Linked DNA regions of Ovis aries. The protein of the gene in region 3 binds, or shares a complex with, the protein of the main gene of each other region. Links are inferred from orthologs where the notes say so. Each region holds a gene or a part of one and is shown on either strand. Other genes may lie near its edges. The genes, in order: GNAS, CRH, CRHR1 and UCN.

Region 1 (7,369 bases), on a different chromosome or scaffold from region 3:
TTTTATCCAGTGGACAGGAAATTAATGATGGCCTCCATCTTTTTCCATTCATTATCAAATTATTTTTTTTCCTTCACTTCCTGCATCCGCACTGCCCATCACACTCATGCACACGTACATACACGCATGCCAGGTAACCCTCTCCAAGCACTGCTCTGCGTATTCAGCATGCAGTGAGGGAGCAGGTCTTTGTCCTGAGAACATGCAGAGCCAACTGACCTAGCCTAGGGCACCTCAAAAATAGCTTCTGTGGCTTGGGAGGGGAGGGGCAAAGGAGATGGGGGTCGGGACCAAGTAACTGACACATGTTTGTTCATCTGTTTTTTTTAGACTATATAACCCCTAGATGATGGCTTCAATTTCTCATCTTCCCGGCTATGTCCTATCACACTTTGCATGCTGGAATTGCCCGTCTTAGGAACTTCTAATAAGAATACTATTCTGTTGTGGGGGGTGGGGGGATGGGGCCCCAACACCTAACCTCTAAAGATAACTGAAAAAAAATTAAAAAAAAAAAAAAAAAAAACAAAAAGCAAAAAAAAAGTAATCCCTAATTGACAAATACATAGTGTATCAACCACCCAAAGCATCTACATAAACAGTGATTGACAGCTTACTGTACCAAAAGTTGGCATTTGGGAGCTGTGACCCCTCTCTATTGAACCACCTCCCTATTGAACCACCACCTGTATACTTCCTAGATGCTATGCTAGATCCCTGACTGAACCCTACTAATACCTACTAACAGCCTGCTCTTCTATCTGTGACTCTGTTCTACAAGTTAAAACTTAAGTATTAACAAATGTGATAAATAAAAATTCTCTGCATGTCTCAGCAATCCCTGTATCTTGCGTCTGTCTTCTGTCTTTCTTCTTTCGTCTGTCTGCCCACCAAAAGAAAAAAAGCATAAAGATAAAAAGGTATAGAAGTCAGTATACAACATAGCCTTCCCCTAACACTTGGAGGAGGGGGTGGCCATCTCTTAAAATTTGAACCCAGCATATAAAGCAGCCGTGATCTCAGGCTTTATATATTCTGCGGGTAGCGGGGAGGGGGGGGGTTACAAAATCCAACAGTACTTCCAGCCCCCACTTTTCATCCATCCGAATTCTGTATGTAGTTGATATACATTTTGGCTTTCATTACTTCAAAAACATATGAGGAACTTTATCAGAGGCTGTCACAATCAATGTTAAATTCATTAATCGATAGTAAAAGTTATGATAAACCTGCCAACCCCCAGTATAATATCTCCATCTACATAGTAATTGCTTCAATGGAGGAATTTTTGTTTTAGTATTACACACCCGAATTAGATTTCAGATTTCTATTTTAGCTGTTTTATACTTGATATACTCCCACACCTATTCACATACGTAGATGAATACTGAGCACATTCTCAGAATATCCGTATTTAAGACTGGAAGTTTTCCAATTACCATACTACTACTTAGACCAAAATATCAACCTGAATGAAAGAACCAGGTTTCTGGAAATAACTTTTCTCTTGCTTTGGGCTCATTTGGGCATTAATACCCAGACATACATGATTTTAACTGTTGTGGGACCTTAAAACCAAAGCTCCAAGGCGCTCATTACCATGGAAATGGAGCTTCTTTCTAATGAATGGGAATGAGACTGTCTTGTGGGGTTTTAACTTTGAATTTCTGTGTGCAATTTGGGAACAAACATGTCCGTTTAAAACTACAATGTCTAAATACCTGATTTAGGCCGTAGCGCCAAGTCGGGACACGATTGGGAATTTCAGAAACTCACAAACTCACAGAGGGGGTCAGGATGAGATCCCTTTATATCGATGCTGGTTGCATTAAGAGTCAGGGGTTTGGGGCACAAATCCCCCACTTCTGGTTGGCAGCACAGCTCTCCTGGAGTTCTCCCGCCTTGCAGCACTTTTATTAAAAGCCATGAGGGGGTTCCTGGTACCATCTGTAGCCCTGCACCCGCAAAGCATACACCTCTTCAGCCCCTGATGAGGGCAGTACCTCCAACTAGCTCCCCCCATTCAGATACGAGACTCGGAGGCCAGTTGCACCCTGGGGAAAGGAAGAAATGAGATCACTCGGAAAACAAGGGCCCACCGCTCAAAGGAATATGCAAAAGGCTTATTTTGAAAGGGTGAAAGGCCAAGTTCTCCGGGGGGCGGGGCTTTGCAGGCGATCACATGGCCACACAACCCACCCCACCCCCGGCCCTGGAGCTGCCTCCCCCTCCCCACGTCACACTGACCTCCCGGCTAGGCTGCTCTTGCTGTTAACATCCCCTCCCCGCTTGTCCTCTACGCTAATGTCCTGTCGTGTCCTGCCCCTGCTGAGGGGCTACGTGTTTAATTTCTACCTCCATCCCAGTACTGTAGGTGAATTAACCCCGTGAATACATCAACTGGATTCCAGAGATTTATTTTAAAAATCCCCAGCAAGAAAAATATAAGCCCTGTCCCCCTCCTGCCTCTGTCACCGGGACCCTCAGCCCCTCCCCTGAGGACAGCACCTTCCATCTTTGTGACACTACTGTCACCTCCCAGGACCTGATACTCAGTAGGTGTGTCCTGGGTGTGGTCCAATCCCCTAGCCCACAGGTGACCCACTCTGGGCAATACTGTGGCAAGAACACAGCCCCAAAGAATCTTTCTTGGCTGTGTTTGATGATGGACAGTGTCTGAAGACACAGGGACAAGCACAATGTCAGGGTTCCCCAGAGTCAAAGGGCCTTTACCTGTGGCCCCAGGGACCCTGAAAGTAGCTGGTTCCACACAGACCACACGTGCCCTGCCAGGTGTGCAAGTTAAAATCAAAAAGTGATGAAGGCACTAACATCTACTTAACCGTGGGGCATAGGCCACACCGCCTCCCTCCCCTTCCCCTCGTAAGTCCCAGATCTTAAAAGACTTTCAGGGAGGGGTGGCAGAATTCCATTTTACTGTATTCACATCGAGGGATCAATGTATATGAACATCATCAACTAGAAATATTGTCCACTGCTGCTGGCCACATCGAGGGACACACAGTGACTATTCCAATAAATAGGGCCCTTAAGTCTGTAATTAACACTACCACCTACATTTCATTCACTGCTGATCCCTATGCTAATCCAGTGACTGAAGAAGCCCCAAGGCACACCATGACCTTTCCGCACCTCCCTAACCCTACAGTAACACTTTACCGCTCCCACCAAAAGCTTCGGGACAGGGATGCCTGGCGTGCTGCAGTCCATGGGGTCGCAAAGAGTCACAACTGAGCAACTGAAACCTCAGTAGGGATGCTAATAAAGGCCAGTAGGAACTTTTAGGAAGTGCTGGTATGCAGGGGGGGCCACAAGAGGGTGGAAGCCCCTCTGAATAGTAAATAACCAGGCCACACTTCTGGTACAGTAGCCACAATCCTTATCTAGATGCTTGGGATTCTGCCCTACTTGGGCGTGTCCTCAGGACACAATGGATGGTTATCATTTGAAACCACCATTGTTCAGGAACCTCCAACCTAAGCACAGATCTGAACCCACCACTCCTTCAAGAACAGAATACTATTTTAGTTGGAAAGTCGTGATTGAAACGACACTGTGAGTCAACGTGATGCAATATGATTTTTTTTTTTCTTTTCAATCCCACTGTAGTGAGAAGGCCACCAAAGTGCAGGACATCAAAAACAACCTGAAAGAGGCCATTGAAGTACGTGCCTGGTCCTTTTCTGTCGTTTCTTTTAGCCTCCCTTTCAGACAGTGCTCTCCCCCTGACCTTTGCTCCATCATTTTCAGACCATCGTGGCCGCCATGAGCAACCTGGTGCCCCCTGTGGAGCTGGCCAACCCAGAGAACCAGTTCAGAGTGGATTACATTCTGAGCGTGATGAACGTGCCGGATTTTGATTTCCCTCCCGTAAGCCAAGCCTGCACCCCCTCCCCACACCACCAGGGGCCCCCCTCCCCCTACTCTGCCACAAAACTCAGTTTGCACACTGCCAGCAAAATCCATTTCTTTGACACTGTTAGGAAACAGTTAACCCATTAAGAATCCTTATTCTTTAAATGACAGCAACAGCTAGCAATAATCATTAGGGCTTTAGTCAAGATGGAGGAGCAAAGTTATGTCACCCCTTGTCAGTCTTGACTCCTCTCCACAAGTAAACATCCCAATTCAATACTACAATTCCCACTGGATTGGACTGTAAATTTTCACAGAAGAAAAAGTCATGAGTTGTGGCAGCCTTAATTATTCCCGTATACACATCTTGTGACAAAGTACTGTATGTTGAGTATGGCACAGAAATGCTAATCGTCTAGCGATTGAAACTATTCTGAGATATCAAGGAATGAGAAATGAAGTGCCAGCGCTGAGTTTTATAAATGGGAGATATTCTCATTTTAAACAACTTGCCATTTAACTTTTGTTAATTTTTTTTCTAGAATCAGTCCTTTGGCTAAATGAAGTCTTTTCTCATTAATTAAAAAAAAATTACAAAAGGCCCTCACCTAAATGTCATAACACAGGGATTGTCTTCTCTGTTCCCTGGCTGACGTGCAGGACACTTTTTGCACAGATTTGTTGGCTCTGTAAAGAACTATTTTTAGGGAACAGAGAACTGCCCATGCCCTAAGCATATATATATATATATATATATATATATATATATATATGTTTTGACCCTTAGTGAGGGAAGAATAGTTTATAAGAGGGGAACAGGAAATACGGTGGAAAGATGGGCAAGTTTATAAGGTCCAAAAGGAAAAGACTTGTCTACAGCAAAAACAATGACTTATTGTTGCCTTTTGTCAGGATTTCGTGGGAATTTGTGTTTGTATATTTTAAATGTGTTTGGCTGCAAACTTCTCCTATCCAGGAAGCAGTATTAATAAGTATGGCTAGGTAAATTTTCTTAAATAGGAAGAAATAAAAGAAGAGTCCAGCAGTAAACACAGCATACATAATGCCCAACACAGACTCTTCTGTGATTCTGTAGCTCTAACAGGAGAAAATGCACCAGGATGGTGACTCTTAAGGGTCCTCCTGTTTAGCTTTTGACCCTTTTCTTGCTGCATTCATATTGCAGAAAAACCTTTCCTTCCCTTGTAAGGGGAGATTGCCCCATATAATTAAAAATGTTTTTACGTCAAATGACATATGAACCGTGACCTATTGCAGTTTAAAACTAGGCAGAGGTCATTTGCTCCTTTGATTGATAGGCATTGACTGACAAGGTCAGATTTGCCAATAGCTCCCAATTATAATATTTTTTGCTAAAATTCACATTTTCCTGGAAGGAAAATTGCGGTCTCATCACATCTTCATAAATGAGATGTCTTACCTCCATGACATCAAATCATTTATTGGCAAAGTCTCCTAATTAGCTTGTATTCCTCCTAGGTAAGCAATTGGGTGAGGAAAGAAACTTATTCAGTAGTTCAGTTTGGCCCTTCATCCCATTCCCAAAAAAGTACAGAATGAAAACTACCCAAGACCAGTAATCCACAGAAAGAGATCAGCTGGTGTCAATTTCCAAATACGTGTAGCACGCTGAAGTTCTTTATGAACACTGACTCCTTAGTTTGCCTCGAAACGGAATAATTGCACCCAGGGTTGGTGGCAGGGTGAACTCTGGTCTCACTGACTGGGAGCAGCCCCTGTGTCTAAACATTCCCTCTCTTGTTCACTTCCAGGAATTCTATGAGCATGCCAAGGCTCTCTGGGAGGATGAAGGGGTGCGTGCCTGCTATGAGCGCTCCAATGAGTACCAGCTGATTGACTGCGCCCAGTAGTAAGTACACTGTCTCCGCATCAGCGTGCACGCGCACACACACAAACACGAGCGCATGGAGAACATCCTAAAAACCACAACTCACACTGTTTAAGTTACTTCTTTTCAGAGAAGCCAGCCTGCAGTTTGAAAGTTGTAGTCCAATTCACTGGTTTTATAAAGCCCTTAATTGTACTTTTTAGTGCAGTGACATTATTTTTATACAAACAGGTAATGCCTGGTAGAGCAAAATGATAATTACCTGCAGTAAAGTGATGTTCATAATTAATTACCTTGAAGTAATTAATTGAATTGACCTCCAAGCATGTGGGGAGATAGGACAGCTTTCACACTTTGGATAAGGTAGAAGTATTGTATTTTATTGCTATAATTTAAAACGTGACAAAGAGGAACAGTGTGGCAAAAATATGCCTCCCCCCTCCTTCGTGGCCAGTCCAGTATTTCTACTATCAGGTAAGTGACTGTAGTAGCTGCTAGAGTCCAATATGTCTAGTTCATCTAGAGTTGGGTATTGTGTTGAATTCCATCTCCTATCCTTATTGATTCATTCACACTGGGCTTAATTCGAGGATGCTCCCCCCATGGGGTCCTTGCTGTGTCCCTTCATGGGCTCTCTTCCAGTGGATGTGATAAACACAGCTGGAAAGTTGCTTTTTAAATAGTTTACAACCTTGCTTATCCTGTACATAATATAGCAAATATGTGATGTTCAGAGCCATAAAAGATATTTTAAAGGTATCGTTTGTTTGCTGATGTTGCACAAATGTACTCAGCGGTCTCAGTTATCATATATTCTTAAGTTGGATTGTCTTTTATGACTGGGGGAAGGGCAAGAGATATTTGTGATGTTTCAGCCTCTCTTATGTAAGTAACTGAAACACACACAATTTTGCTATTGAAAATATTAAGTAACCAGAAACACGGTACCCGGCTGGCTCACAGAAAGCTAAAATTGCATTACTTAGGAGCCCCACGCCTGAGGAACTTATGAAAACCACTTGAATAAACAGGAGGGAGGAAGAGGTGACAGCACTCCAACTGCAAACACAAAGCAAGTGCCCCAAATTCCTGTTATCTACACATGACAAGAGCTTGTGTTAGGGGCTGTGAAGCCTGTCAGTTTCTCTCTCCTTGGCCCTGCTTTCCCATTGGAAGTGCATTTGATTATTTTCAGTTATCACACATACAGCTATTTTGTGATTTCATATACAAGCAAATCTGTATATTTTTTCAACAAGTGAGAAAAAAAAAGTCCATCTTGGCCAGTCTCTGTGACCCCCCCCCCCCCCCCCCCCCCCCCTCAACAAAGTCTCTGATTTTCTCAAAAGTTTGAGCTTAAAGCTGGAAGTGCTAATTATAGTAATGCAAAACAAATGGAAATCCTGGAATTGTTTGCCTTTTGTAGTTTGGATCCAAGTCAGAAGTACAGGTACAAGATTAGAAGGATTTAACCACTCCAGTTTGGAGTGCTCTGGGAGGGGGTAGGGTGTAACACTTCATTAATTAACAGTTTAGCCAGCTTTTTTTTTTTACTCTCACACCATTTAAAAGTTTTTTTTTTTTTTAAAGCAACACTCAATTACTCCTGCAACTTTATCTGAA
Region 2 (7,809 bases), on a different chromosome or scaffold from region 3:
CCAAAGTCCAACATGACACTGTCCTGCCCACTAACAGTGCATTTCTAGCAGGAGAAGGATAGTGATTTTGAGGCAAGGGAAGGTATCTAGTGTGTGCTTTCCACGTGATTGCTTTCCAACCCTGGGGCTTTGGGCTCTTGCTAATTTGTCTGAATGTCCTTGCGTCTTAAGCTACAGGAGTAAGAAGTACTATGAGCTGGGCTGGAAAGGTCAACCTTGCCAGAAAAAGATTCTATCCTTGTTAACATCTTGGTTTCATTAATCTCTGCTGTTTCTTTTTCTCTGCAGTTTTTGTTCACTGGGTCTTTGGTTTATTAATTCTTTTATTTACTGACATTTGGGAGGTAGAGACAAAAGAGGAAAAGATTTTAAACTTTGAATTCTCACTGTTTGAGGTCCATCATGTGATCCCTCCCCTACCTTTGGATTGGAACTATTTGGATAAGACCAAATTTTAACTTTTTCTTAAGTAGATTATCCTTGATATTTTGTTTTATCATTATTCAAATCCACTGTAAGTTTGTATGCATCAGATTATTTTGTATTACAGGATTCTTCAGGCACAAGTGGAGCTTATACAGCCAACTTTATTCAGTGTTCACAATGCACACATAGATAGTCTGTCATTTTTGATGATAAAACTCCTTAGGATATGGGGTGGCATAGCTGTTCAGAACGAAGTTATAGTTAGTGGAAAATTAAACTTCATTTTTGAGGCAATAAAACATCAATGACAAAACCACTAGCAACAATTATTTATAAACTACAGTCCCTTGTAGGATTTCATACTTAAACAACAGTGAAAAGAAAAACAGAAATGAGAACCTGCCCCTCCTGAGAGTTTACTTTTTTCTCTCTACATTCTCTGGCTGGAAGCCTCAATTTTTCAATTGTAAGTTTTCAGAAGAGCATCATTTTGCATTTCCTGGACCATCTATCACACAGTGACTCACAGGGTTGGGGTGTGCGGGGCAGGCACATCAGCCTGCTCTAACTGAGAACAGGATGACATGATGTCATAGAGTCAGCTCCACGGAATGCGTCATCCACACAGTATCACCAGGCAGCTCTTGCCTTGATTCTGAATCTCAGAAGATGCTGCAAAACGCTGGAGGGAAAAATCTGTCTTATAGTCTACCGCAGGCATAAATAAAAATCAATTTGATCCTTTGGCGCTACCTCTACTCCCAAAGGATCCCAATGTTCTTAGCTCCTACCCCTGGAGTATTAGTCACACGTCTCTGAAATGCCGTCTCCTCTGTACTAGAAAAGGCAGGCCCCTTAAAGGTAGCCCTCTCTACAACAGGTTTTATTTTGAGTGGGATATTAAACAGTGCCTCTAGTTAAAATGACAGGGAAAACTGGAGGGAGGGAAAATGTAATTTTCCACATTGGAATTTAAAATTTTTAAATTTATTTTTGGTTGCACTGGGTCTTCGTTTCTGCTCGATGGCTTTCTCTAGTTGTACAAGCAGGGGCTGTTCTTTATTGCAGTGTGCAGGCTTCTCGTTGTGGTGGCTTCTCTTGTTGTAGAGCACCGGCTCTAGAAGCACTGGCTCAGTAGTTGTGGTGCACGGGCTTAGTTGCCCTGCGGCATGTGGGATCTTCCCTGATCAGGGATCAAACCTGTGTCCCCTGCATTGGCAAAATTCTTAAGCAGGGGACCACCAAGGAAGTCCTCATGTTGAATTTGACCAAGACATAGTGGTTAATAATCCTCCTTTTTAAAGGACTATATGATTTAAGTGGAAGAGAACCCTCTTCATTGCAGAAGACACAGTGTGCATTCACACGGACTTGGATTGAATGAAAGGATTCAAGGAAACAAAACAGTTGGAGGAAGGGTTGAAGGTACTTAATAACTAGGAGATAAAATCAACCAGTAGGTTTAAGTGGATGAGAAAGCTATAAGGTCATTATCTGTATGAAAATCTGTGTCTGATGTTTTAGAAATGTGTTAGAATTGAATTGGCCATCAAATGACAGGTACAATTTCCTCCTGAAACTCGTTAGTGGCCAACCTCTTGAAGATGGAGAATGCTTAAAAGACCATCCACTCTGTCTTCTGCATTCAGTTTGAATTATTTTAAAGCATCTCAGAAAGAGGAGACGCTACCCTACTGTATGGCTAAACTCAAGAATCCTATTTCCATAAAGGTTTTTTTCTGTCTCCACCCCCTTACCCAATTCTGATTCTCTGACAGAGGGTCTGATACTAAATGAGAGAGCACTGGAAACCTCCCAGAAGTTCACCTATTTAAAGGATTTTGAGTATCATTATTTCATATTTATTCAGAAGAATCAACAGAGCCCTTCTTTGAGGAGATAGCAGAAAGCTGAAGAGCTGACAGCATAGAAAACTGTCACTTAAATCTTTGAGCTGTGTAGCCCACAAACTATTGCTAGAAACCAATGACGTTGTAAAGCAACTTTGAATTGGGCTTCCAGGTGGTGCCTGTTAGAAGGGCCTAGGAGCAAGGCATCATGGGAGACCAGGCGCCATGAATGTCTCGCCGTCGACTGGGAGGTTGCAAAGCGGCTGCTGCTGTTTTCCTTCCAGTTCCGGAACCAGCTGTCTGGCCCACAGGTAGGCTTCTTGGGAGTGGTTAGGGTCTGTTGTCATCATTCCATTTTGGGTTTACAGGGGTGGTGTTCCACAGGTTGTTGCTTACTTTGCAGTCTGTGATCCACGGAAGTTGCCCTAGATGGATGGTGGCGTCAGCTTCATTTACTTTTGTGTGCAAACCATTGTGTTAAAGATGACAGGACACGTTAATTTGACCAATTCTTAAATAATTAAAATAGTGAATTTGTCTAAATAACATATAGCAAGTTAAAAACCAAATACCACAATATAGTTAATTTTTGGTAACCTTGAACTGACTTCAATTTCTGCCTAGGCTAGCCCCGTTTCTAAGAAAAGATAGTATTTTAAAAGCATTCATTCAACAAATATGTTTCCTACCCTTTGGTAGGAAGTACTGTGCTAGGCATTGTATTTGCAATAATAAAGTTGCTTCCTTTCCACAGAGAGGTGATAGTGTGCAGGAATGCAATCTTCTAATGAATTAAAAACCTCTTCTGGAATTGTAGTTCTTTTAGGATATTAAAGGTGCCCGAGGTCTGACTCTTAAGTTCCTGAGAGTTTCAGATCTGGAAATAGCAAAATTAAAAATGCACCGGGCGAAGGCAGCCTTTCAGTGTACAGCTTCTTGTTCTCAGTAGACAAGTGCTGTTTGACTCTTTATTTCCCTGTGGTAAAGCAGAAGGGAGAAAGGAGAAAGGCAGCCTAAGTGCCATGGTGGTCCCCACCCCCCAAGAGGGCTTCCAGGAACGTCTAAATCACTGCAGGTTTTCCTCATCTTCCATCAGATGAACAGCTTCTAACTCACTTCAGCCTTCCCTCATCTTCCCTTAGATGCATAGGTTGGTTTCATACGGTAATTCTCTTACCTGCATCTTTTGATTCCCTGGGATCTTTATAGTGCGGTGTTTGAGATGGTTGACTTATATCTTCAAATACATATTTATAACAAAATAAGGTCTTTAAAAGTTGTAATGTTCATTAAATTTGGAAAACAGAGGTATGTGGAAAGAAAAAGAAACTGTAATCTGACCACCTAAATGTATCCACCATTTACATTTTGGTGAACTGTCTCCTAGCCTCTATTTTTCTTTGCATTGTGTTATTTTAAAGTGTGAAATCATGACATATATTATGCACAGCTTTATTCCCTTTGCCTTTTGATTTAGCATTGTATTCTAAGCATTTTCCTTAATACAACATTCCTTCAAGGATTCCTTCAGAATCCTTGTTTAATTATGTCCTAATAGTCCATTGAGTGGAGTTGTTTTATTTTGCTTTGTTGTCTCCTGCATAGGCTTCTAGCTTTTCATGATTATAAACAATGCTAATAATGAATATTGCTATGTAGATTATTTTAATCTAAAACTGGGAGGATATTAGTTTAAATCAAAATTAACTTGTCAAAAGCTCTTGAATAGGGCATAAAACTGAGCTTTCCAAGCACGCACTGTAAGGCCCGATCTAGCCGCCCCCCCCACGCTTTCCTGTTTGAGGAGGGGAGTCTTGCTGCTCCTGTTTCCCTTTTCCCCCATCAGCAGTGGCATGTACCCCGTCCAGCCTTGCCTGAATGGACCCCTCATCTGTTGGGTTTACGAATAACTATAGAGTGTCTTGCGGAGAAGGCAGTGGCAACCCACTCCAGTACTCTCGCCTGGAGAATCCCAGGGACGGGAGAGCCTGGTGGGCTGCTGTCTATGGGGTCGCACAGAGTTGGACACGACTGCAGCGACTTAGCAGCATCAGCAGAGTGTCTTGCTGGAAATGGTTCAGTCAGGCCACATGTTGCTGCTTCTGAGTAAAGCACAGACTTTGGCAACCATCTGATAAATTTGCCTCGAGCTTTCTAGAAACAATTTAGGTTGTCATTTGGTTGGAGTCAGACATGTTATATTTGCAGACAACTCTACGTTTTTCAGGAAAAGGGACCAGGCCCTCTCCTTAGCAGACATATTGAGGAGTGGAGTGGGAGGAGAGTGGGCGTCGATGTTCCAAGAGATGTGGCTTGGAAGTGAGGGCAGGCCTAGTAATGGCTCATCTGAAGTCAGCTCGCAGTGTGGCCACCAGCATAGGTTTAGACATGCTCATGTGCTTGGTTGGATATCTGGGTGAGGATGCAAATTGAAAAGGGAAGTTCATGCAGAGTGTTGTTTCTACTTTGGTTGGTATTTCCTGAGATGGACAGTTGGAACATTAAAGATTTTATGGGTCAGTTACATGCTTTTGAGCTATACAGTGGCACATAATTCATATGATATAGTGACATGGAAAGTCAGATGTATATGATTTGGAGAATTTTGCCATTTGATTTTGATATGTAAATTTTGACCTTGAGAGTTTAGCAACTGCCAAGACTAATGAGCAAGAGGAAACATCACTGCCATCCCATCCTCCTATGAGCATCCAGGGCTTCTTTGTATCACAGGCTGGAGCTGCTCCAGGTGGGGAGGGCGGGGCAAGAACAGTGTGTGCGTGTGTGTATGTGGGTGTGACTCTGCAGACCTGTGTTCACCTGTCACTGGAGCTCCCCTGGAAGTACCTGAATTTGGTCAAGGGTGAGGGCATATTGCTTGGCCCTGTGTAAACTGTAATATTATCAGTCAGGGCCACCTGGGAGAAATGTCTTCTCTGAACCACCTGCGTGATTCCTCTCACCCAAGAAGCAGTGGGCAGCAACTGGGGACCAGAGTGGCTGATTCTCAAATGCCAACCCATTCCAACCCACCACTTTTTCAGGAATGGTGCTAAGGCCCTGGGAAAGCACAGGCAATTACACCCTGCCTGTTAAGATGGGCAGGTGCCCCCCCTCCGACCTACGCTGACTCCCCGCCCCAACCTCCCTCCCTCCACCCCTGCCTGAATCTCTGCTGTTGGCAGGAGATCCACTCCCTGCTGACCTGCTTTCTGGTTCTGTAGGGAGAAGCTCTCCCTTTCCTAATCATTTTCCACATGCACAACTGTCAAGTTACATAGGGACCAAGAAATAAAAGGGGTTTGAAGAGAGGTGCAGGCAGCTACATGTGTGTATAATTGCAACTTTCTTTGCAGTACATCTCCTCAGAAGGGTTTACTTGTTTAAACTACACAGAGGTCATGAGAGCCTTACAGGACGAGACTAGATCACTCCCACCAGCACTCTCATCATCATTCCTGAGGCATCGTTCTATCTTGGCTCTGTACTGTGGGGTAGATGGATGATCTTGTTTTGTCTTGCTGCTGATCAAATAGAAAGGATTCGGGGTGTTATTCACAGTGCAAAGTAAGTTCTTGTCTTAGATGCCAAAAGCTATAATGTCCACTCAGTTCGATTTTAGTGGGGAACTGAGGCACTCCTCTCAAAGTTGACTCTTCTATTTTAGCTGCTTACGTGAGCCAAACTCAGCAGGATTGACTCAAGTCCCCTCTTTGTTTAGTACGTCTAGTCTCAACCATACAGTTACCCTCAACTTGACAGTTTAGTTTTCGCCAGGCCATGCCTGAATTTACCCTGAAATGCTTCTGTGAAACCCTGAAGTTATTGCTGGATGGAATCAGACTGTGGACTGAAGAGGGCCCATGTTAGGAGGGGGAGAGCTTGATTTGAAGAAGGAGGTCTAGATGGGTGGATGACTGTGATGTCAGAGAGAAGTTGTTGGTTTTTTGTTTGTGCTTTTTGGGTTTACAAGGGAGGAGGAGTCGTGTCTAGAAGAAGCAACGGGGAATATTCATGAAGAATACCCATGTTGTGTGGGAAGCCAGTGAATGAGCAACCTCCCTGAGATGCCTTCAGAGAAGGTGATGTCTGTTCACTCAGTGCATACGTGTTGCGCATGTCTAGGTGCTGGGGACACGAGGTGGTACGTGCCTCATGACCAAGGGCGAGAAGAGTAAAGCTGTGCTGAGATCAGCGGCATCCCAGCCAGCATTCAACCAAGTCCAGGAGGGCCGGTCAGGTGCAGGAGAGCTCCCTGGGATCTGAGTGTCCAGTCATCCATTTACCGTGGACAAGGGTCCAGGGCAGGAGGGGAGAGTGTTGGAGAGAGGGAGCAGAGAGGGTCAGGTGAGGGGACCCAGGAAGCCCCTCCCTTGTCTCTATTTTCTCTTGTCTACAGACACTTCCTGCTCCCTTTCCCTACACTGGCTTTCTCTACTTCTCAGTCCACTTAGCAGAAAATGACTGTATTCACAGCCCTTGGGTCTTTGTAACTCCTTTGTTCCAGGGGCCAGCCCAGACTGAAACTGGACACTCAGCCCTGACTCCAAATTTCCAGCTCTGGCCCAGACTAGGTCACCATAGCCAGGGGGGTGGGTCACAGAATACAAGTATGCCCAGTATGCCTAGCCTGGCAAGGGAACCTGCTGAGAGTTAGGTGAACAGCCTGCAAGATGTCTTCCCCTGGCCACTTTCCAGGGGCCTAAGGGTTGGAGAGGTTGGGTGTGAGTCTTCCTGTCTGGAGTTTGTGTGGGAGCAAAAGCTGCCATTAGGCTTCCTGGCACATCACTGCTACTGCCTGAAGCCTCCTTCAGATGACTCCAGAGGCAGAAAAGTGCCAAAATATCCTCAGCCTGATCAGATTAACCGTAACAGTAAAGAGACAGCTTTACATCCCTGCTCTAGTACTGAAAGGAATCTATGTTGGTTTTACTTCTCCTGAGCAGCTCAGCATTAATTGGTAACATGTTTTTATTCATAAAGAATATGGAGTGTATCTTTGATCCAGATGACAAATTTATATCTGAAATGATAAAGTAACACTATTGATCTCATCTCTCCTTCCCCCCAGCACCGCCCCTCGCTGCAGCAGCTAAGCACAGTTCTCTTCTTGCAGCATGAGTCCCCTTTGTTTTTAGACATGCTCTTTGGTCCTCCAGAGGCAATCCATCAGAGCTGGTGCAGCTGCTGGTGTCCCTGGGTTGCTAGGCCTGCATCACTCTCCTCATTCTCTGGTGTTGACAGCAAGACCAGCCCTGTTACTGATGATGGCAGCTATGGCCTTTGATGTCTGATGAATGGAGCTTGGGCCCAGGTTTATGGATTGTATTGTTAATGGGATACAGTCAAAACTCAAAGAACCCTTAGGTCCTTGGCTTGACACACCCTGCTTGGACAGACCTTGTCGATAAGACAAGAGGAATCTGTTAGAGAAGAGGGAAGAGGCCTCCCAGGAGCAGAAGAAATAAATCAAGCTTAATACCTTGTAGTCATTTACTTCATTTGTTTGTAAGTTCAGGTTTTCAACATGATA
Region 3 (7,369 bases):
TGGCAGGCGCTTGGCACTCAGTCAGCTTTCAGTAAATACTGCTGCTTTCCCTACTGCCTCCTCGACTGTCCCACCCCCCAGATGGGCACGCAGTGTGGTATAATAGAGTACTCGATTTAGAGTCCAAAACACCTGGTGATGAGGCTTGGTTCTTTCATTCATTGGCTTATGGCCTTGGGCAAGTCACTTAACTTCCCTGGGCCTCAGTTTTCTCATCTGTAAAAAGGGAATAACAAATCTGTAAATTTTTAGACAGGGGGAGTAATGGCATTGCAGGGTGGATGAGGAGCAAACAAAATCATACATGAAGAAGGGCTTTGAAAAAGACAGCACGGTCCATAACGTTATCCCTCCCTCCCCACAGCCACACACCTGCGGCTTCTCGCCTTCTCCAGGCTCAGCTCTATCCGCAGGATCCAAGGCAGATTAAAATCTCAACCTGCTTTCCTCACTCCCCTACCCCCAGCACCTCTCTGTGATGCCATTCATGGAGGCGCCATGGTGGCACAGCGCCAGGGCTTGACCCACCTCCACCGCCTGGCTAGTCGTCTCCTTGTGTCCATTAAGCCCCAATTCCGAATTCTTTCTCTTTCAGTTAAAACACTTGGCCTCGAGGCCTCTGTCCTTTGAGCCTGGACTTGCCCACACACCCTATGAAAAGCTTTGGTTAAAAAGAAAAGCCAGCATTTGGTACAAGGGTTGCTCAGCACGTGTTGCATTCAGCAGGGAAGGGACGCCAGTCTAACCAGTGCTGTTTCCTGAGAGACTGGGCACAGGCCTGGCTGGGGAGGGGGTGGCAGGTGGGCCCCTGTAGGGCTTGGCAGCTGCTGATGCCCTGCGCTAGTGATGCTGCCCCTTCATTGGTTCATGGCTCTCCCTGGCTTGTCTGTGCAGTCTAGGGCCAGTCTTGAGTTATTAACCCCACTCCCGTCGTGATGGACACACTGGGCCTCCATAGGACTGGTGTGACAGCCTTGAGAGGAGGGGAGCCTGGAAAGGGGTAGAAAGAAGGGGCAGCATCAGGAGGGCGGCCAGGACTGTCCTCAGCCCAGCCCCCACCTGTTGGAGACCAAAAGCCCCTTGCCCTCCAGAAGTGTTACTATGACTTCAACTCTGCTCCAGTGTCCATGTGCGTGCACACACACACACACACACGACTCCAGAAGCTCTTAATTTTTAATTAAGGGCAAACATTTGGAAGGGGATTTTGACATCCTCTTTCTGGTCCAGTTGTTTATACCCTTTTTTGAGTCACAGACTCCCTTTGAGAATCTAATGCAAGCCATGGTCCCTTTCCCAATTAAAATGCATGTATAGAACAAATTTTTCATTAAATTTCAAAGTCTATAAGAACCTGTACAATTTCAAGTGGACTGAGATTAAGAATTTCTGATCAGATCCAACTACTTCATTATTGATAGGCCCAGAGGTGGCAAGTGACTTGCCTACACTCACACAGCAAATGAGTAGCAGAGCCCAGTCTGAAGCCTGGGTTCCGAATTACTACTTCAGTAATTCCCCACATAGTGTCTCTCTCCCTTTTTTCTCCATGATCCCTCTCAGCCAGTCCTTTCCTAGGTCCTTTCCTAGCATAGATTAGAGCACAAATGTTCAGTGATTGTGGTTATCAGGTGAGCTGGAAGGTGGGCCAACTTCTTTTAACTGGTTCCTACAGGTTCAGAGCAGATGTGGTTTGGTTCTAGAGGCGTGTAAGGGGACTGAGTCAGGGATTGGCTGGGTTTCTTCCAAGCTGTTCCAGGCTGTGAATTCTGAGCGCTCCAGTCTACACCAAGTGCAGGGCCAAGAGAAGTGTCCTCAGACTACAGAGCAGGGGACCTGGAGCATGTCCAGCCTTCCTCTAAATGCCAGCCAGGACCTCAGCTTTACCACCACCCCAGTGTCTCTGTTCCTCCTCTGCTCTGGAACCCACATTGGCTCCCTAGTGCCATAGCATCAAATTCAGATTCCTTCCCTTGGTATCTCCTCTGCAGAAAAAGAGCTCCTCTCTGCACTGGGGTCATTGCTGTCCTGTCCTCAGTTGGTGTGTGAATGTAGACTGGTTGGGGGGACACTGGAGTGGGGATGTTGCTCTGTCTCACCAGCCGTCTCTGCCTCCAGGACTGCAGTGCAATGCTTCCGTGGACCTTATTGGCACCTGCTGGCCCCAGAGTCCTGCAGGGCAGCTGGTGGTTCGACCCTGCCCTGCTTATTTCTATGGCGTCCGCTACAATACCACAAGTAAGGAAGCCTGAGAAAGGTAGACCGTCTCCTGGGAGGTGGGACAGGATGCAGAGAACTGGGGGCTTGTTGCAGGTGGGGAAAATAATACTGACAGTGACAGTAATAATACCAATACCATTCATGGGTACAGCTGCCATTGACCAAAGGCCAGCTGTGTGCTCTACTGGGCACTCTGCTATTTACTGCGGACACTCAGCAATACCCTGGAAGATGCTACATGTAACTATGTTATATAGTTAAGGCCTCCAAGGTTCAGAGAGATTAGGGAAGTTGCCCAAGATCACCAGCTGGTGAGACCGGAATTTGCATCCAGGTCTGACACTTTCTTCTGCAGTTGACCTGCTGGTTAATGTTGGCATGAGCCATGAGGTAGGGCAGGGGTCATCAGAGTAGCCCCAGCTTTGCTCAGAGAAGTTCCCAGGCCTAGCCAGGGTCCTCCAGCCATGAGGTAGGGGACTCAGGGTTTTAGATACACAGGCGGGGGGCTTGTCCTTGCAGGCAGGCCCACAAGTGGGGTGGGGACAGAGGAGAACTGATCCGGGCAGGGCTTGTTCAGATACTTGATCCTCACATAAACACCCTGCTCCCCTTGGGCCCTGAGCCTCCACCTCCAGGCTTTGCAGCTTCTTGCTATGCCACCTGTCACCCTCAGAATTAATTTGCTCTCCCCTGTCAATGACTCACAGCCCCTGCTTATCAAGAGAGCAACAGCTGCAGGCCAGGGGCCCTGACCTGTCTGGGGGGGGGCGGGGTCCCTGGGTGGGCCTTTGGGGTTTGGTGGGCCTGAGCTTAGAGCCCAAAGAGGGGACAGAAGGTGATCTCAGATACCAAATAATTGTGTGACCTTTAGCACATTTTTTTCCCCCTCTTTTATGGTCCTCTGGCCTCTCATCTGAGGATGGAGAGGGCTGGACAACACGGCTTCTTAAAACTTTGTCCAGCTCAAAACTCTCAATTTCCTTCTCCTGCCCCTCCCCTTTTCTACCAGCTGGATTAAGGGGGCTCGGGTGGGGGGCCACAGTCAAGGAGGGGTGGGGAGGGCCCTGGGGAGGTGTTGGGACTGGGCAGGAGGCTGGAACAGCCAGACCATGCAGCCTGGACCCAGGAGGAGAAGAGAGCCTGGAGGAGGTGTGAGGAGAATGTAAGTAGGAGGGAGGGCTGAAGGACCTGAAGAAAAGTTTGGGGTGCTCATCCTGCCAACCTCCAACTTAGTTGGGCCCCTTTTACCATTAGGAAATGGAGGCAGTGAGGCTGAAATCGCCCAAGGTCACAAAGCTTGGAGGTGGCACTGGAGCTGGGAAACCAGAGCCCTCCTGCTCCTCCACTCACCCGGCCGGGTGCCCGGCCCGGGAGCTCCCTGGAGGGAGGCAACACTAGGGCTGGTGTATGTTGGGGGGTGGGGGGCTACTTCCAAAAGGAGCCCCGCAGCCCCGCCCATGACAGCACCAGGTCCTGTCAGCTCCACCTCCAGAGTGATCCTCACGTCTGACCCTCCCTGCCTTCCATCCCCAGTGCCGCTGCCCCGGTTCAGGATACCTCACTTTCCAGTCCTCGTCTCTCATCCGACCCTGTCACACCCTTGCTTGGAGTCGACCTTTCTGTGGTTCCTTCTCTGTGGCTACCGTGCGACCTACCTTTGAGCCAGCCCTGGCCACTCCCCATGAACTGCCCCCACTCTTGTCCCCAAGGACAACTCGACAGCCCCCCAAATACACCATTAGTGCCTAGACACACGCTACTCGACTTGTCAGCCCTGCCTTTGAGTGGAAGCCAGGAGTCCTGGGTTCTAGTCCCAACTCCACACACACCTGGTTAAGGAGCCCTCTGCAACTGGCCCTGCCCGGGCCCTCAGTTTCTCCACCTGCAGGATGGGTGGGAGGTTTGGGTGAAGTGTTCTCTTGGCTCCCTTGCTCTTCCGTCTGTGATCCCAGGAGAAGAGCAGGAGAAGGTGATAATTCCTTGAGGTGGGGGCAGGGCTAGGAGACTCCCCTTTCCAGGTGCCTCCCCTGTCACAGTGATGAGAAACACCGCGTAATCAGGGGCAACTGGGAACCCAGATTTGTACCTAATCATTAGGCACCAGTTAATTCGTTTACCGAGGAGGTGCTGGCAGGACGTCTAGGCCTTCTCCCGAATGCCCTCCTTCCCACTGCATCTGATCTTCAAAGGGATGGGAAATATTTCCAAAAATATCAATTTTCCCGTGATTCTCCAGGAGGACTGCTCAGCTCAGCAATTAAAGACAAGGAGGTCGCATCCTCCCTGGAAACTTCATGCTGCCTGTTGGGCCTGTTTTCTTGTGGGATCACCTCACTTCCCACCAGAGCCTGCTCCCTCTGGATGATCCAGCCTGGGAGGGACTCCAGGCTCCTGCCCCACCTGCATTCAAAAGGGGGGGCTTGAGGCAAGGGGGTGCCTCCGGGACCTGTGCCTCCTTTGATAGCGACAAGTGGCATATTCTGAGTCTTATGTAAGGTTGTATAAATATAGCTCCAAGACAATAATAATAAAAGCAACAGCTCACACCACATGCCAAGTAGAGCTCCACATACCCTGTATGTGTCAACTAAAAACGCCTCTCAACCATTGAGCAGGAACTCTTGTTAAGATCATTCCTGTCTTGCAGATAAGGAAGCAGAGAGGCTGAAGGACTCGTCCAAGGTCACAGAGCTAGTAAAGGGTGCTGTCAGGATTTAAATCCAGGCTATCTAGGTGCTGTGCTAAATCGCCACAGTCATGTCCAGCTCTGTGCAATCTTGTAGACTGTAGCCCAGCAGGCTTCTCTGTCCATGAGATTTCCCAGGCAAGAATACTGGAGTGGGTTGCCACGCCCTCCTCCAGAGGATCTTCCCGACCCCGGTATTGAACTCACGTGTCTTATATCTCGTGCATTGGCAGGCGGGTTCTTTACCACTAGTACCACCTGGGAAGCCCTGTCTGGGTGACGAGCTCTTAACACTATAGTGTGCTGCCTCTCTTAAGGCAACGCCCCCTCCTCTGCCCATGCTTCTTCCCACCAGATTCTCTGGCACCAAGTCCCTTTGTTTGCAGACATCTGGGAACAGCCTCTGGTCCCAAGCACCTCCCATCCACCGCAGACACATAGGATTCCCCAGCTCCCTTGCCTCCCCCCAGGCCTCCCTGAAACCCCAGCCACGGAACCCTCAGCCCTCTGCCAGCTTCTCCCTCATTTAGCAATTAGGAGGGAATGAGCAGCATCTTCAACTCTGCCCAAGGGCTCAGCTCTGCCGGGACTTGGGTCCAATGGCTGGGAAGCCGAGCAGAGCTTTAAAAATCCATTTAGCCTCATTTCCCCGCTGGTGCTATGGGCGAGCAGCCTCTGAGCAGAAGGGTTTAGAGAGGAGGGAGAGCCAGGCAGCGGTTCCCGCTCCCAGGTAAGCGGCAGCAAATCCCACCCCCGCCCCCCAACACGCCGCCCCATCCTCTCCCTCTTGCCTGGTGCCTCCAGCAGAGGCATGTCCCAGGCTGGGCGGCACCCTGGGGATCGGCTGACGTAGCCCTCCCTCTTGCGCATGAGGAGAGCGCCCCAGGAGGCGACCTGACTGATGTTACTCATGCAGCAGGGGCCCCCATCTGCCTCCTGTGGGGTCCTCTGCCCCTGCAGGGTTCCAGGCTTGGGGACTGGGATCCGAGCAGCTTCCCCCGCCCTCCTCCAGCCCTGCTGGGGTGGAGATGTGACATGCAGGTCAGTGTGAGCCATGGAGAGCCCTCCAGAGGGGAGGGGCTCTGGTGGAAATGGCTTCCAGCCAGCGCTGCCTGGAGTCAGGGCCAGAATTCACTCAAGAAAACATATTTAGAGCCACCAATGCCTAAGAGGGGTCCAGAGTGGGGCAGAGCGATCTCTGCCAGCAAAGGAGAAAAGGTCAAGATGTGAATGTCCCTCAGACCCCTCCCACCTGGGCTTCAGGGCCCCAGTGTCCCCGGAGAGTGGGCAGGAAGGAGAGTGTCCCAGTGCGCTTTAGCCAGCCTCGGTTTAGACCTCAGATGATTCCCGATGTCCTTCGGAAGTGACACATTCTGGCTTCCAGGCTGGTGGCAGCCTCGACCTCTCGCCCCTCCCCCGGCCACTCTCCTGTCTTTTTTCCCAAGTGTCAGGCTGGGAGCCTGTTCGAGCAGATCTTAATAATCAAATACTTGCTACATGCGACCCACTCCCGTGACATCCCCCAGCACACCCCTCGTCTCCAGCCACCTGTCATTTTCTGCCCACCATGCTTGCTCGCACCGTGTGAGCCTCCAACATGAGGCCGGCTGTAGGGAAATGGCAGCCTGGAGCCCTTCCCTGCCCCCTGCCCTGAGAGCCCCATGCCCTGTGAAAGGACCCCCCAGAGGGTGGCTTACCATGGTGCGTCCTGCCCCACGAAGCCGGTCAGTGCACCGTGCCACGCGCACTGCCACCGCACACCGTCCGCATCACGCCTGGCCTCGAGAGCGGGAACTGAGTCATCAGGACTCACCCTTCAGCTTTGCTGCCACGTGAGACCCCAAAATGGGAGGTTTCTCAGCAGGGCGCCCACCGTGTAATCTGCGGGAGACAGCCCAGTGAGCCAGTCAGGCCTCTGCCCCTGGGCCAGTCCCGTGGGTGTGGGTGGGCACAGCCGTGGCGCATGGGCAGCCTTTGGGGTTGCCACTGCGCCTCTGTTAGTGGCCAGTGGCAGAAAAAGGCAGGAAAATGGAGATAATAAGAAAGCCCCCCTCCCCAGCTTCACCCTAGGGCCCCCAGCAAGCCAGCTCCTGGGCTGCCCCAGATGGACGGGTAGATGGACATACGAATGGCAGCTAGATAGATGCTCGGGTTACTCCTCTTTGGGAGCGGAGCCTGGGGTCATTCTGACTCGCCCTTCTTTTTCCAGACAATGGCTACCGGGAGTGCCTGGCCAATGGCACGTGGGCCGCTCGCGTGAACTACTCCGAGTGCCAAGAGATCCTCAGCGAGGAGGTGAGGCTCCAAGCCAGCTGCCCACTGAGGCCTGGGCCTGCGCCCCTGGCACAGCTCTGTGCCTGCTACTGGCCCATCAGGGTGGGAAGCCAGAGGCTGGTGTCCGTGCCCTGCAGAGAGAAGGCGACTGGGGAGCCAGATCTAGGCCAGCCGTGAGCAGGCACGCCC
Region 4 (7,218 bases), on a different chromosome or scaffold from region 3:
CAGAAGCAGTTGCTGAACCAGAGGTTTGAGGGCCTGTGTGCAGTGCTGGAGGAGCGGAAGGGTGAGCTGCTGCAGGCGCTGGCCCGGGAGCAGGAGGAGAAGCTGCAGCGAGTCAGGGGCCTCATCCGCCAGTACGGAGACCACCTGGAGGCCTCCTCTAAGCTGGTGGAGTCTGCCATCCAGTCCATGGAGGAGCCGCAGATGGCACTCTACCTGCAGGTGGGCCCTGGGGGGAGGGGGGCGGGCAGTGGCAGGCCACCTAGTGGCTGGAGTGGGGGCCTTTGCACTGGGAAGCCGGGTTCAAGTCTTACCTCTGGCTCCTACTTGCCCCGTGGCTTTGGGCAAGTCACCCTCTCTATCCATTTTTTTCCTTAACAAATTGGGACATGCATCCCCCCTAACCCGCAGGACAGTGGTGGGCATCAGAAATGGGATATTGCTGGACGTTGGCACAGTGCTTACTCTCACCCTCCTTTCTTCCCTGCAGCAGGCCAAGGAGTTGATCAATAAGTGAGTAGGTGAAGCGGGAAGGGAGAGGAAGGGGTGGGCGGGGACTCCACTGACAAGGGTGGGAAGCGGGGGTAGTGGTGCTGGGAGTCTCTAGCTGAGCCGCTGGGCTGCTGCAGGGTCGGGACGATGTCGAAGGTGGAGCTGGCCGGCCGGCCGGAGCCGGGCTATGAAAGAATGGATCAATTCACCCTGAGCGTGGAGCATGTGGCGGAAATGCTGAGGACCATTGACTTCCAGCCAGGTGAGGAAGCCAGGATGGGAGGGAGCGGCCAGCCGCTAGGACTGGGCGTCCAGACCCTCTGGGTCTGGGAGGGATGGGGGTAAGACGGCCAGAGAATAAGGGACCCCAACTCACCCAGCCTTCTCCTGGCCTAGGCACTTCTGGAGAGGAAGAGGATGAGGAGGTCGCGGTAGAAGGGGAAGAGGGCAACGCAGGAGCAGAGGAAGAGCGGACGGATGGGCGGGAAAGTGAGTGTGGACATCGGCGGGGCCTGGCGGGGACCCCCTTCCACCGTCGGGCCATCGTACTCTCGGGGGCATTAGGGATCGCTTGGAGCCCCTACTCCCAACCTCAACCAGGAGGGGCGCGCCCTCTAGCGCGCCGGCCCAAGTACAACTTTCTTTAACACTATCCATCTCTCTGGGCTGGTGGGAGACCGGGTTAGGTGGGGAAGTGAAGGAGAAACCCTCCTGCTTAGAGAAACGAGTGAGCTGGGCTTCGGAATTGCCTTGTTTCTTGGGAGCGCCCGCCCACTGAGCTTTCTTTCCCAGGCACAGGCCAGCACTGACTCGCTCCTGTTGCGGATCCTGCGCACCCGGGTCCTGGCGCTCGGATGGTGAACGACCTGAGCAGAGACCACCGTACCACCCAGCCCGGCGTGGCGCCGCGGGGGAGGGGCTCAATAAAGAGTTAATGCGTCCCGACCCGCAGCTCCTTTCACTGCTCACTCTCTGAGCTTCTGCTTCGGAGACATAGCATCACCATCCATCCTGCCCTTCTCCAAATCTGGGACCTCTTGGGGCGAGGACGGGTGGGGGTGGGGTGTGTGAAGCGGAACGAACCCTTATGGGGCACCTCCTTGACATTAGGCACGGATTCGCGAGCCCAGAGCCAAGAGAAGAGGGCAGGGGGGTGGGGCGGCGACACTGGGGCTTGACTTCCTGGAGACTTGGAGACGATGGGGACCCCAGGACCCTGGCAGAAAGCGGTTCTCACGGAGCCCTCCCACAGCATCTGGTTCCCTCTCGCCGGCCTGGGAGACCCCACTTCCCCGCGGGCTCACACCCTTCTGTGGCTCCCCGCGCCCCCACAACAGAGGCCAACGGCTCTTCAGCACTTTTATTAAAAACCGGTAACGCGGAGAGTGCTCAGGGTATCCCTAGGCCGCTCTAGCCCTGCAGGACTTGGTCAGTTCCTGTCGCTCACGTCTCAACCCTGAGGTGGAGCATGGGGGTCGAGATTGTCGGGGCCCGAGACCCGCCGATCACTTGCCCACCGAGTCGAATATGATGCGGTTCTGCTCGGCGCGCTCCCTCTGGCTCTGCGTCCGCGCGAGTTCCAGCAGGGTCCGTAGTAGGTGGAAGGTGAGGTCAATGGACAGGGGAGGGTCGTCTCGTCGCTGCCGCTCACCTGCCGTCCTGGATCCCCATCGGCCCTGCTCCGCCCGGCGGCGCGGGAAGCGCTCCGCCAGCAGCAAGAGGAGAGCGTGGGCCCCGCCGCCGTGGTTCCGAGTCCCGGGGCTCCAGCGCAGACTCGGATCTCGGAACCCGGCGGCCGCCGCCTCCTCCTCCCGACTCCACTGGCTGCTCCCCGGGCGCAGCTGTGCCAGGAGCAGCAGCGCGGCCAGCAATGCCGCGCGTCCCGCCGTCCTCATGGTCCCGCCGGCCCTGGACACACAGGGGCAGCGCAGTGTGAGGTGCGCCTCGGGCAGTCTCAGGGGACGCCGCTCCCCTTCCCGAGCACGTCCAGCGCCCCTGCCCGGCCCCTGCGACTGCCGTCAGGTGCCCACAGCCTTCCCACCAGCCCCAGCCGCTCCCAGTCCTGTGCCACCCTTTTCTCCCTGCCTCCTTCTTGGGGTGTCGCGTTGGGTGAGCTGAGCGCTGTCCTAGTGCTGAGGGAGTCTGGGCAGACGCGCAGAAGCCACTCACAGTTCGCAGGAGAGCAGAGCCTCTGCACCCTGCAGGATGGAGCTCCAGTCTCTGTCCCTCGGGGAGGGCTGAGGGCGCCACGGGGAACACGGGGTCTGTCCCGGGACCTTCGCCAGCCTTATATAGCGCCAGAACAGCTCCGGCTGACGTCAGCGAGGAACATGCACTGATTGTAGAGCAATGACGGCCGCAACTCTGAGTCCGACCCTATGGCTGCGAGACCCCAGGAGCGCGCCGGAGGACACCAGACTTTGTGTCTCTGGAAATGACACTGGACTCAAGAGAAAGAGAAGCCTTCTGGGGCGTAAAGATTGCTCTGGGAGCCACGAGAGTCCTTCACTCACTTAGAACAGCCAGCAGGGACTAGGGGGACCGGTCAGTCCCCAGACTAGTCCAGATCTCCAACCTTCTCTGGAACAGGAAAGGGAGGCAGGACGGTGGTGCTGTCCATGGTGCTGACCTTGTGCTCAGCCTCTGAAAGGGGCCAGAGACCTTGGGGAAAATGCTGTGCTGCTCAGATCCAGTCCCTTGCCCCAACTATCTGTTCTATAAATGGAGGCAGTCAGGATGGCACTGCTAGCATTCAGCTACCACAATGGTACCCTACCCAAAAGGCAGTTTGAGCTGCCAGGATTCTTGATCTTCTTCCAGCCCCAGGATCTAAATCCTAGGGCTGTCTGTCCGACGTGCCTAAAAAAGAGGGCCTCTCGAGCCGGGGTGCTTTCAGATAACAAAGGCTGATCCATCTGCTTCTTGGTTTGCCTCAAAGCTGAAGTTTAGCCAAGTTAAATTTTCTCCTGGGAATCACAGCAGCAATATTATTTTATCGCAGACCTCTAGGTTAAGATCACTGAGTAGGAAGTAAGAAAACTTGGCTTCTTAGTCTTTTTGAGCTGGTATAACAAAAATATCAAAAGCTGGGTGGCTTATAAACAACAAGCATTTATTTCACCACAGTTCTTGAGGCCAGGAAGTCCAAGATCACAGTACCAGTAGGTTTACTGTCCACTGAGGACCTGCTTCTTCCTGTCTTCTCAGGTGGCCTCTTTTGTAAGCACCAGGTCCCTACCCTCATGACCGAATCACTTCCCAAAGGTCTCACCTCTGATACCATCACCTTGGGCATTAGGTTTTCACCATATGAACTTGGGGAGATACAAACATTCAAATGATGATAGCACATGTTCGTGTTTCTACTCTGCCACTAACTCACAGTGTGGACAGGTCACTTTACTTCTATGGACCTCAGTGTCCTCATCTGTAATAGAAGATTGGGGTTTGGGGGTCTCCAGACTTCTTTCCAAACCCTGGAAAATGAGACTCCCCAGTCATTTTCTGCTGGGTCTTACTCATTGCCTCTGCAGCTTCCAGATTACCTATTTAGAAATATATTTACAGAGGCACCCTATAGAGAGTTTGAGGGGATCTCCCCCAAATTGGAGCTACACTGAGGCTGGGAAGGGTTAGGAAAACAGCTGTCTATGAAGACTGGGGAAAAGTGGCATCTTCCAGGATGAGCGTATAATCTAAAGTTGACAAAATGATGTTTCAACAAATATTTATGGAGTGCCTACTGTGTGGTGCGTTTTAGCCATTTCAATAGGAGTCAGGTTACATTTTAGAGTGAAATGGGCCATTTCAGGGTGCTAACCCCATTAAATTCTGACCAGCCACCGAACCCTGTGAAGACCAATGTGCCCACTTTGAAGAGGTGGTCTGATCCTTCCAGGGTCAAGGTGCATCACTACAAGATGGAAGTGACGGAGTGAAGCCGACTTAGAGCCGGTGTGCCTTCCAGGACAGGTAGGAGTTCCAGATAACAGCAACACACTGGACCACAGCCAACCTAAGGAACAGGGACAGTGGCATGAAGAAGAGGAAGTATAAGGAAGAAGCCAAGGGGAGAGGGGGGAAAGTGCAGCAGACAAAGGGTGAATATCTCCAAGAATGTCCAGATCTAGGTCTCCTTCCTTCAGCCCCCATGGAGGGATGTGTGGCTCAGATGAGAGGACAACCAGCTCAGGTGCTTGTGCTGGCCCAGAGCTCTGTCTCCTGGACAAGAGTCTCAAAGTTAACTGCCCCCCAGCAGCCATTTTGCCATGCATGGCTTTATCCATACTCTATCCAAGCTCCTTCTAAATACACATCTGTCTTGTACAGCTGAGATCTCATCTTCCAAAAATGTGCTGCCTGCCATATAAAGCAGCACCTCCTTCTCTTTACTTTAAATATACTTCACTCTAGTTTCAAAGAGCATTGCCAGGACTCTAAAGTTTGATTTGGTTCATAAGTCTGTATTCCTTTTAGTTATGCTATTCATGTCCATTCTGACCTTGTCTCCTCTAAGAGTTTCATGATTTCCCCTGTTCCCAAAGCCCCCTCACCTCCAATAATTTTAACCACTCATCCTGTTTCCACTATATTTATTTTTATTGAGTTTTCAGCCACTACCCTGATTATTTAGGATAAAATAATATTTTTCAGTGGACTAACCTGACCATGTTCCTACTTGACTCTGGTCTACCTTTCTGCCTAACCTAGGCTGTAATACTGTCCCTACAGTCAGGCCATCAAAGGTAGAGAGCCCAGGTGGGATGGAGATGAGGGCTGTGGAGCAAGATCCTCCCTAGGAAGATGAGATGTCAGTAGGCAGATGCTCTGGGATGTTCTATAACATAAGAGATTCTGAACAAAGTGCTCAGGAGTCTGAGGAGCTCTGACCAGGGCAGGGTGTTCTGGATGGGGGCAGGGGCAGGGCGTGTTATAAGGTAGTTCAAGGTTAAAAATGAGGATCACTTTGTCTCTGTTTGTAATATGCATCTTCCTTGAAGCGTGGGGTGGGGATCTGCCATACCTGTAATGAAGAGGAACCAGGTAGAAGTTGGCCAACTGCACGGCAGGCCAGAGCTACGAGAGAGAGAAGGGAAAGGTTGGGGGGCTGCCTCCATCTCCCAACGCCAGTCTCAAGGCCTTGCCTGGTCTGACTCCAGCTTCTCCAGACAGGAACACATGGCACTGAGTGAGTGCTTCCCTGACTATGGTGCCCACATGGGCATGAGGGAGTAATCCCAATGGAGGGATTTCTGTGTCAGGAGGACCCCTGATCCCTGGGCATTTCTGGACTCAAGAAAGCAGAAGCAGCAGCTGAGGTGCCAGCTCTTACATAGTAGTTGGTGATGAGAGCATCAGGAAAGTCCTGAGGAGACAAGAGAAGGAACAAGTGAACACCAGCACTTTCGGGCACCTTGGACCTCCCAGTGCCAACTGCCAACTGGTGTGAGTATCACACACAGACATCTGCTCAGAGAAGACACCACTGCACCACGGCGCCCCAGCTCCTCCCCTCCAGAGCTCGGCTCTGCCTGCATCTCCACCCCGCCCTGCCTCATTCCCCTGGGTCTGCCGGTCCACCAGCCAGAAAGCATCCCCACACCGGGCCAGCTCACCCGCTGGAGTTTGGCCCAGTTGTCCTGGGCTGACAGTCCATTGAGGGTCCCAACCAGTGGGAGGAAACAGCCCAGAAAACATGGGGCAAAGCCCCCCTAGGGAAGAGAAATTAAAGTGCTGTGAGCACCTAAACCCTCGCCCTCCTGCAACACAGCTCACCCTTCCCAAATCCCTTTTCCTTCCACTCACCTGATCCAGCAGCATCTTCTTTAGTGCATCTACCTTGGTGGTGCCAGGAATGAGCCGGTCCAAAACTCTGTACCAGCCTCCTACCACAGGGCCCTAAAAGGAACTCCCAGAGAGGTGAACAGGGATGTGGAGGGGACACCAGGATTTTACATCACAAAGCTGCATCCTCAAGTATTAGAAACCAACCCCCAGGGGGAGGAGACACTGAAGGCTGGCTTAGATGTGAGAGGGTCCAATGGAAACCAAAGGATGACAAGGAACTGAGACCACTGTCCAATTCACCGGCAGCCCTGTTGTTGGCAAAACTTACCACGAAGCCACAGCCCAAGGAGGCCATTGTCAGGGTCCGGCCAGCTTGGTGTGCCCGCAGACCTCGCCTCTCCACCAGCTGCTGTGAGATCACGTCACCCAGGCCCATCAGAGACCCTGTGCAGGGTACACAGGTGCCATCAGGATACCTCCCAGGGACAAGCTGCCATCCCAAGGAGGGAGGTAAGTCTAATGAATGAATGAGGCTCTGGCACTTGGAGGCCAAGGGCTTCAATCTGGGGCAAACGGCCAGTCCCTTCCCACTGCTTCTGGGATGGTGACACCTCCCCAAGGATGGTGACACTTCACATGTGTCCTGTTAGAAACGGAGATGAGCAGCCTGGAGCAGGCCACGGCCAAGAACTCTGCAGTGAGCACTGAAGGGAAGTTAGCCTCAGAAAGTGCAGGTAGAGGAAGGTGAATCTGAGGTGCTGAGGGCTGAGAAGCACTGACTGTTGGAACTGGAAAAGCCTTCCAGATGTTTTTGTGCAAACCCCTTATTCCAGAGGCTTGGAAATGAAGGCCCAGGAAGTGGCACACAGTAAGTAGCAGAGCCAAGAAGAACCAGGTGGCTTGATTTCCTAGACGGTATTCCTTCCAGAATGCTGTACTATG

What was found.
Region 1: the proteins of CRHR1 (region 3) and GNAS are in contact, whole or in part, in a cryo-EM structure (PDB 6P9X), measured with the Homo sapiens proteins. The link is inferred for Ovis aries from reciprocal best matches to the Homo sapiens genes CRHR1 and GNAS. Residues at the interface, in NP_004373.2 of Homo sapiens: Arg151, His155, Tyr212, Leu213, Ala216, Ile217, Leu219, Thr220, Tyr221, Asp224, Arg227, Ile290, Ile293, Leu294, Lys297, Leu298, Ala300, Ser301, Lys311, Lys314, Ala315, Val318, Leu319, Leu322, Phe362, Tyr363, Asn367, Ser368, Glu369; in NP_000507.1 of Homo sapiens: Gln35, Arg38, Ala39, His41, Val217, Phe219, Phe376, Cys379, Arg380, Asp381, Ile383, Gln384, Arg385, His387, Leu388, Gln390, Tyr391, Glu392, Leu393, Leu394.
Region 2: the proteins of CRHR1 (region 3) and CRH are in contact, whole or in part, in a cryo-EM structure (PDB 6P9X), measured with the Homo sapiens proteins. The link is inferred for Ovis aries from reciprocal best matches to the Homo sapiens genes CRHR1 and CRH. Residues at the interface, in NP_004373.2 of Homo sapiens: Lys113, Tyr116, His117, Ala119, Val120, Asn123, Trp169, Val172, Gln173, Met176, Ser177, Pro178, His181, Thr192, Tyr195, Asn196, His199, Phe203, Phe260, Gly261, Lys262, Tyr267, Tyr272, Gln273, Met276, Ile277, Leu280, Tyr327, Phe330, Phe331; in NP_000747.1 of Homo sapiens: Glu156, Pro157, Pro158, Ile159, Ser160, Leu161, Asp162, Leu163, Thr164, Phe165, His166, Leu167, Leu168, Arg169, Glu170, Leu172, Met174, Arg176.
Region 4: the proteins of CRHR1 (region 3) and UCN are in contact, whole or in part, in a cryo-EM structure (PDB 6PB0), measured with the Homo sapiens proteins. The link is inferred for Ovis aries from reciprocal best matches to the Homo sapiens genes CRHR1 and UCN. Residues at the interface, in NP_004373.2 of Homo sapiens: Leu106, Asn107, Glu109, Lys113, His117, Val120, Asn123, Trp169, Val172, Gln173, Ser177, Pro178, His181, Gln182, Thr192, Tyr195, Asn196, His199, Phe203, Phe260, Gly261, Lys262, Pro264, Tyr270, Tyr272, Gln273, Met276, Ile277, Tyr327, Phe330; in NP_003344.1 of Homo sapiens: Asn84, Pro85, Ser86, Leu87, Ser88, Ile89, Asp90, Leu91, Thr92, Phe93, His94, Leu95, Leu96, Arg97, Leu99, Leu100, Glu101, Leu102, Ala103, Arg104, Thr105, Gln106, Gln108, Arg109.

What each region holds. Positions count from the first base shown.
Region 1 is NC_056066.1:57,156,057-57,163,425, reverse strand, and holds part of GNAS (guanine nucleotide-binding protein G(s) subunit alpha isoforms XLas), read left to right. Parts: intron 1-3,627; coding exon 3,628-3,685; intron 3,686-3,771; coding exon 3,772-3,891; intron 3,892-5,669; coding exon 5,670-5,767; intron 5,768-7,369. UniProt on the Homo sapiens protein: Guanine nucleotide-binding proteins (G proteins) function as transducers in numerous signaling pathways controlled by G protein-coupled receptors (GPCRs).
Region 2 is NC_056062.1:43,566,564-43,574,372, reverse strand, and holds the start of CRH (corticoliberin), read left to right. Parts: upstream 1-2,501; 5' UTR 2,502-2,505; coding exon 2,506-2,587; intron 2,588-7,809. UniProt on the Homo sapiens protein: Hormone regulating the release of corticotropin from pituitary gland. Induces NLRP6 in intestinal epithelial cells, hence may influence gut microbiota profile.
Region 3 is NC_056064.1:45,563,045-45,570,413, forward strand, and holds part of CRHR1 (corticotropin-releasing factor receptor 1), read left to right. Parts: intron 1-2,118; coding exon 2,119-2,238; intron 2,239-7,115; coding exon 7,116-7,201; coding exon of another isoform or gene 7,202-7,206; intron 7,207-7,369.
Region 4 is NC_056056.1:34,381,275-34,388,492, forward strand, and holds UCN (urocortin), read right to left. Parts: upstream 3,457-7,218; 5' UTR 2,659-3,456; intron 2,398-2,658; 5' UTR 2,385-2,397; coding exon 1,995-2,384; 3' UTR 1,835-1,994; downstream 1-1,834. Other genes in the region: TRIM54 (tripartite motif-containing protein 54), read left to right, coding at 1-219, 488-510, 627-751, 886-978, 1,282-1,298; protein Mpv17, read right to left, coding at 5,844-6,200, 6,295-6,387, 6,605-6,720. UniProt on the Homo sapiens protein: Acts in vitro to stimulate the secretion of adrenocorticotropic hormone (ACTH). Binds with high affinity to CRF receptor types 1, 2-alpha, and 2-beta. Plays a role in the establishment of normal hearing thresholds.